Linked DNA regions of Xenopus tropicalis. The protein of the gene in region 1 purifies or fractionates together with the protein of each later gene. This does not show direct contact. Links are inferred from orthologs where the notes say so. Each region holds a gene or a part of one and is shown in the gene's direction. Other genes may lie near its edges.

Region 1 (3,831 bases):
GCTTTTCTCCTTCCTTTCTAGACCCTTAACTCAGTCACTGCGCAGCTTGGTGTAGAAGAGTGCAGCATTGCCCTTTTGCCACACAATCGAGACAAGAACCGCAGTATGGATGTGCTACCCCCAGACCGTGCCCTTCCTTTACTGCTGTCTGCTCATGGAGAAGATACCAGCAATTATATTAATGCTGTCCTGACAGATGTATGTTAAAATTGTAAATGTTTCTCTCTTTGAATGTAGTGAAGTTATGACAAAACACATCACCTGGTACTATCTTGTCTTACAGTTATTTCCACATTTCTTTCAGCCTTGTAGATTTCCCTTTTATTGTACTGCTAAAAGTTCCCAGGTTTTCATCCATACTCCTCTACGTATTAACTTGTATCATGCTTTTCTGCCACAGCTAATATGGTTTGAAAATTGTTTCTGCAGAGCTATACACGGAGTTCAAATGTGATCATAACTGTGCACCCCCTGCAGAACACAATCACCGACTTCTGGAGACTGGTGTATGATTACGGTTGCAGCACTGTTGTAATGTTAAATCAGCTTAACCAATCCAATTCTGCTTGGGTAAGGGTTTCCCAGGTTCCACTCTATGTAGTTGTTAACACAATCCTTTCTCAAGACATGACATAGAACAATTAAATATATTTTGTTATCAAGGAAATGCAGAGGCTAAAACAGAAAAAGGTAATTTTTCTGTGTGCATCTCCTTAGCATTCATTCTGTCATTTCTCCCTCTTATTTGCCTTCAGGCAACAATATATCCTTTATCACTGCCAACTATGATCCTGGGCACAGTACAATCTTTTTGCTACAATTCAGTGGTTTTCTTAGAATTTCAGCCTCAATGTTCCCACCCCTATATACAAAGCAAAGCTATAATAGAGGCAAAATAAATGCACCCATTTGCAAAGTGTGGGTTGGGCATTGGCATTCACTTACATGTTATTTGGTTATCAGGTTGTAAAAAAACAGTTTAAAGGAAAAGTAACACTAAAATTTGTTGAATAAGCTATTCTACCCTACACCAATAACTGCCCTATCCTGCAAACCCCTTAGTATTTTGAATGCTTTAAAAGAAAACTTGGCTTCCTGTTAATTGAACTAAGGTGATACGGCGAAGAAGGAGCAGCAATCACTATGCGACGATCGATTCATCGAGTCTAGCCTTCCTTCTGTATAGGAAGGAGTCAGGCTAGACTCGATCAATCGATCCTCGCATAGTTGATGCCTGCTCCTTCCTTCGCCGTATCTCCTTAGTTCAATTGACAGGAAGCCACAGGAAGCCAAGTTTTAACAGGTATTTTCTTTTAAAGCATTCAAAATACTAAGGGGTTTGCTGGATAGGGCAGTTATTGGTGCAGGGTAGAATAGCTTTTTCATTTAAAAAATGTCAGTGTTACTTTTCCTTTAAGCGCTTCACAATGTAAATACTGGCACAAAGAATGTATTCACATTAAATAGATAACAGAAAATTCGCAAACACTCTATAGCTTTTTTAAATCACACAATTTGGAAATATTTTTGTAGATAGTAACGTTCCCACAAGTTGTAAGTGAAGATTCCTATCCTTTCATTTAAATCAACCCTAGGGCATAACCATCAGATCAATCCGATATCACCCACCTCAAGGTGGGCATATGGGGGAAAGATCCGTTCATTTGGTGACCTCGCCAAACGAGCTGATTTTTCAGTGTATGGCCAGCTTTACTGTCCAGCCATATGAGTGTATATGGTCACTTTGGCAGACAGATTGGGCAGAATTTTGCAATTCCATTGGATTTCAGTCAGTATTTCCAGCTACCTTTCACTTCAGTTAAGATCTGCTCAGTCCAAATGAACAAAAAAGAAATAAGATTGGATATTATACATGTGTTCAGACTGGTGTGTATGGCTACTTTTAACACTGGAGATTTCTGCTTATCTTTCTCTTTGCTCTTGTATTTGATGTCTCCTCCATTACATTTTACACCTTTCATTTAATAAATACCAGTGTCTGTAGGCAAACATTATCAATGTCTTCCAGCTTTGTGTCACACTATTACTACCTTTTTTAATTACACAGCCCTGTCTTCAGTACTGGCCAGACAGTGGGATATGCCGATATGGGCCCATGGAAGTACAGTTTGTATCAGGGTCAGTGGAAGAGGATGTTGTTACTCGTGTATTCCGTGTGCAAAATATCGCAAGGGTAAGTGCTTGACTTGATAGCCTAAAATACAAGTAGATGATCCAGTCATGATCCAGTCAATCTGGAAGTTGTAGATTTAATGACACCCATAAGAGGATGTTTTCAAATAATCTCTATCCAATAATTTCAGTTAGTTAACTTTTACTGATAGTGTTTACTGAAGTGTATCAATGAACACGGAGTATTGGTGTGATATAGACTTTGCAGATTTATGTTTTACAATAACTGACTAATGACATGTAAGTGGTCAAAACAGGCGTGAGCCACCTTTACCACAGTAGTGGTCAGAAATTGGCCCAGGTACTTTTGCAGGGGTAGCAGATTCCACAGGACAAGTTACTTGCGCCCAGATAGCAAACTTCCTGTTCTTCACAGGAGGTTAGGCTCTTTTAATATAGGAGAATGCCCGCTGAGCTGCCTTTATTTATATGCCCATCCAGCCTCTGACATCACAGAGGGAGCGGGGCAGACACGTGTCTATAAATACAGCTGTCAGAGATGGAAGAGGGGCACAGTTAGGTCATGGGTGGGGAAGGAGGCTGGCAACCGCCTGCAACAGGATATTGGCTGTGCATGTTGGTGGCCCACACATCACTAGTCCCCAACCTTTTTTACTTGTGAGATATATTTAAATATAATAAAGATGGGGAGCAACACAAGGATTTAAAAAGATCCTAGGCGGTGACTAATTAGGGCTGTAAATGGTTGGAGGAGGCTCTGTTTGGAAGTACAACTTACCTTTAAGTCAGAAATTCTAAAAATAAGCACCTACTTTAAAACTACTCTAAACCATTGAACCTGGCCCTCTCCCTCCACCCCTAATTTGTCTTTGTTTTGTTTCTAACGTTTCCTGCTGGTTGCTGCAGGATGAGCATCTTATGGTGAAACATTTCCAGTACCTTCGTTGGTCTCCGTACAGAGAAACACCAGACAGCAAGAGATCCTTCCTACAACTTCTGTCACTAGTGGAACAGTGGCAGGAACAGAACAGAGAGCACAGGACACTAGTACATTGCTTGTAAGTATTGGCACTAATATGTGTAGAATTAAGAGATATGACCAATTATTTCATTGCAATACGTATTAATTTAAATCAGAAGGGAAGTTGAAGGATTCAAAGAAATGCTAGAAATAGAGTCTATTATATAAATGTAAAGAAAGAATAAATTAGGAGTGACATGTTGCTTCTACAGTGCAGAAACTGTGATTGATATATGCCAGATATGATGATCATACTGGATTAGGTGTATGACTCTTATGCTAGGGTCAGAAATGACTGTGAAGAATCTGAGTGAGCATTAGGAATCTCTGTAAAAGTACCTTTACAGTTTCATGTACTAGGGGTAGACACAATAGGGTTGACTCACTAAAGTGCGATAAGCGTTATCACATGCTTTTTGTGTTAAAATTGATGCAAAAAAAAAATGCGCGATTCGCTAAAGTATTATCGCATCCGTTAAGTCTCATATCGCGTGCGTTAAATAGCGCACAACCAAATTCGTTAATTTTACATATTAATTAGCGTGCAGAAATAATACTAACGCATGATTCACAAACACCATTAGTCTGTGCGAAAATTTACACCTACTTGGGGCAGGCGGTAATTATAGAAAAGTACAGTTCATGAGCTTTTGGCA
Region 2 (3,831 bases), on another chromosome or scaffold:
ATACATTTTATAACATTGACAAATGAGTATGTAATGGACATTCCAAACAGCATGGAAAGTCCAAACCCCAAATTTTCATAAGCATGAGAGCTTAAGCAGATTTTTGCCTCTGGCTTTTTCTAGAATATAGTCTTTAAGCTGTTGTCCGGTTCTAATTTAAGTGTGACCACACACCCTGCATGATCTCTAAAAATTTCCTTGTGGCAAATCTCAGTGACTTAACAGATAACCTTGTTGTCAGTGGGAAGCAATGAGCTCTTGATACTCTCCCTGTTGAGCTATAACTTTAGCACATCCCACTGATAATAATCAACAGTTATTTCCCTCATTCCACTTTTAGTTACCCTACGTTAGTGTCAAACTAGACATTTGAATGCATCGGTCTTCCAAAAACTCTTGCTAACAAATCTTTTAGAACCTGTGGCTTAGGGGTAAGACCACAGATGGTATGAAAAAAAAAAAACAGGTATCGGTGTTGTCTCTGAGACTTAGTCACTAGTAGGTATACGGCACACACACCATCCAGAATGCAATAGCAAATGCAAAACTCAATGTAGAAATGAAGCAGAAAGCAGCAGTAAATGATCACTTAAAAAAGGGACTAAGCTCCCAAAACATATTATGATAAGCACCAAATTTACATTGCAGACTGAAGTATTGCTGCTTTCTACTTTGTTTCTACAAACCTACAGACTTATTACTATAGATATACTGATTTAGATCAGTGATCCCCAACCAGTGGCTCACAAGCTTACCTTGGATGTTGCTCCCTGTGGCCTCAAAGTAGCAAAGAAGGTGCTTATTTTTAAATTCCTTTTTATCAAAACCACGAGTAGTACCAAACATAGCCTTCTGTATGGTATGAGTTCACATAGGGGCTACCTATGACCAATCACAGACCATATTTTGCACCCCAGGAACCTTTTGAATGCTTGTGTTGCTCTCCAACTCTTTTTATATTCGAATGTGGGTCACGAGTAAGAAAGGTTTGGGATCCCTGATCTAGATGAATAAGAACCGTCACAGACATGTCTGAGATGAGTATGTCTGAGCATACTCCCTTCTGTTAGCCATGGAATTTCCATATGCATAAAGAAATAAATATCAAAATAATTTATTTATGTTAGGTTTATGAATGCCAGGTGAATGTTACTATTGACTTCTTTCAGTGCATTACATACAATAAGAAAATACAGATCATCACATACACATTTTATATGTACAATGTACTTGCCATGTGGGGTACAACCATAAATGGCAAATTTAGCAAACCAGTCACACAGATATCCTGTACGCAAGCAGTTGCAGACTTAAAACATATTTTATATTACCTGTACTAGATTTTTGGCACCCTTAATGAGTACAAAGGGGCAACTCCAAGGTGTGTATGTGCACGTGCATAGTTGCATTACATTACCTAGCTTCTTTAGTCATTTGTGGGAATAGAAATGCCTTTTGGTTTTATTTTTGCTTTGACTGCTGAGGCCTGACCAGAATGCTAAAGACAATATCAGACTCTGTCACCTTTTGACTTTATGTCAATTTGCAATCTGCCAAGATTTGAAGAAGATTTAACTTCCCCGCACCCGTCTGTAGGATTACATGACTTTAATTTATTTCCCATAAATCCTAACTTAAGAAATCCATTTGACAGTTGTTCCTTTGGTACTTTGCCTGAAAGCTAAAAAAATCTGTCTGCAGTACTTATTGTTCCCTAAACATTTCTTTTTCCTGGGGCTTTTAATTCCAGAAATATCCATTTTTCTACTTTTTCTATTTTTCTGTACACTGTCTGTTGCTTTGTTTGCCTGGCTATGCAATCAGTTGTTTAAAAGTTATGATATCGAATTCTGTTCCAAATGAAATTTACTGTTATGTATAAAGGGCATACTTTCTGTTTCTGTATGTTTCTCAGAGCCAGGTAGAAGAGTATGTGCAGTTAAAAAAAGCGCTCAATAAAATGTCAAGCCTACGCCAACCAGAAAAGGACACTGTACCAATAGGACGAAATAATTCACCGACCATTGCACCCACTCAGGAACACGCCACAGAACAAGAGCTTATGGTAAGCTCTGAGCAGAGTCTGATCTGGTTAAGACTGTTTTAAGGCTAAATTATTATATATGTGTGTGTCTGATATATATAGATAATTTAGATATTTATATTGTGAATAAAGTACCCCTAATTGTAAAATATAAGAATAATTGTCAGTCACCTAGGAGTTCCATGACCATATAAAAACATGAAGCCGAAGGCTGAGTGCTTTTATACAGGTCATGTAACTCTGAGGTAATTTCTAATATCCTTATATTTTGGAACAGGGGGTACTTAATTTTTCATTATACCCAAATGCAGTGTTTTGTCACCTATAATTTCTCACAGATGGTAAATAGAAACAAAATTTACTTTATTAAAACATTGAAGTCAGCATTTGATAATCTGAGTGATTGCAAGCTCTAATAAGCAGGCTCTCTTTACCTCCTATTTCAGTCAGTATTTGTAAGGAACTTGTATGTTTGATTGCTATAGCTTTGAATTACTCTTCTGGAGAGTTTGCATATCGAAAAACTGTCATTTAAAGAGGGTGCTGTATCTTTTATGTCTGCAGACAAATGTTCAGACTCGCCAAGTAGTGGATCATGATATCATCATCAGGTCAAGCACTGCTGCCAATGATGAAGCTGTACATCTGAACAGAGTAAAAACAAATCTTGACAAGCCAGATGAAGACACTGTGCCATTGCCAGAGGCAGAGGCTGCTACTGAGCATCCTGTTGAAGTAGAAGAGGAACACAAAAAAGAACTGGAGGAAGAAGAAATGGAACAGGTTGGAAAGCCAGAACGTTTGGTTGAAGAACAGGATCAAGTGCAAGAGGAACAGGAACAACACAAACCAGAAGAGGACGATGCATTGGAAGGAAATAACGAGGAGCAAAAGGAAGAGGAGACCAACAATATGCAAGGAAATAAACATACTGAGGTGAGATAATTACTGTGAATTCATAAAAATCTTTAGACAATATGTTATCGCATGTCTGAAAGCATGTGATGGCTGGTATGATTTAATCCTTCCAAAACAATGAGAGCTACGTTTCAAAGATAGTTTGTGACACTGTAGCACACAGCAATGTAAGGCAACTAAATTGTGCTCCATATTAAAGGAGAAACTTAAAGGAGGAATAAACTTGAGTATTCTAGTGTTCAGTATGAATGTAGTGTACTTCTCATTATGACTGTGTATATAATGTTTAGTAGAGCTGTGCCCTACTGTAAAGTATTCATGCCATGCAATGTGTTATAAAAGTATGGATACTAAATAAATATGTATATATTCTATGGCCTTGTGTGTCTGCCAATATTTTTTCCTTTATATAGCACCATATTTGCAGGCCCAATAAAAGCTCAAGCATAAATTTTAGTTTTTTTTTTTTCCAATCTACATAAATGCATCTTCTGTTTTTGGCTTAGCTGAATAGGATTAAAGTGAAACTGAAAGGATTATGTGAAACTGAACCTTGTCAAACATGCTTGGTTTTCTCCAAAAACTGTATTGTTCCAACTATACAGTTAGAACATGGAATGGATATGCACTGCCTGTATTTAATGTTCCTGTGCCATTGCGGGTATGTAGGTTGTATGTAACCTTGTCTTTCTTGTTCCTATATGTTGTGATAGAGGGACCCAACACTCAAGCCTCACAGCAAGTACAAATCTGCCTATGAGGAGCAGCTGGAGCAGCAGCAACTAGCAGCACGGCAAATGGAGGAAGCTAGGCACCTCAAAGAGCAACAGGATCTACTGCACCAACAGAGGCTCAAAGAGCATATTCTC

What was found.
Region 2: the proteins of ptpru (region 1) and golim4 purify together in Homo sapiens (affinity purification with mass spectrometry; 3 studies listed by BioGRID and IntAct, counting the BioPlex papers as one, with this or other methods). This does not show direct contact. The link is inferred for Xenopus tropicalis from reciprocal best matches to the Homo sapiens genes PTPRU and GOLIM4.

What each region holds. Positions count from the first base shown.
Region 1 is NC_030678.2:83,217,375-83,221,205, reverse strand, and holds part of ptpru (receptor-type tyrosine-protein phosphatase U), read left to right. Parts: intron 1-21; coding exon 22-198; intron 199-429; coding exon 430-570; intron 571-2,068; coding exon 2,069-2,194; intron 2,195-3,060; coding exon 3,061-3,212; intron 3,213-3,831.
Region 2 is NC_030681.2:112,719,498-112,723,328, forward strand, and holds part of golim4 (Golgi integral membrane protein 4), read left to right. Parts: intron 1-1,915; coding exon 1,916-2,065; intron 2,066-2,608; coding exon 2,609-2,980; intron 2,981-3,675; coding exon 3,676-3,831. UniProt on the Homo sapiens protein: Plays a role in endosome to Golgi protein trafficking; mediates protein transport along the late endosome-bypass pathway from the early endosome to the Golgi.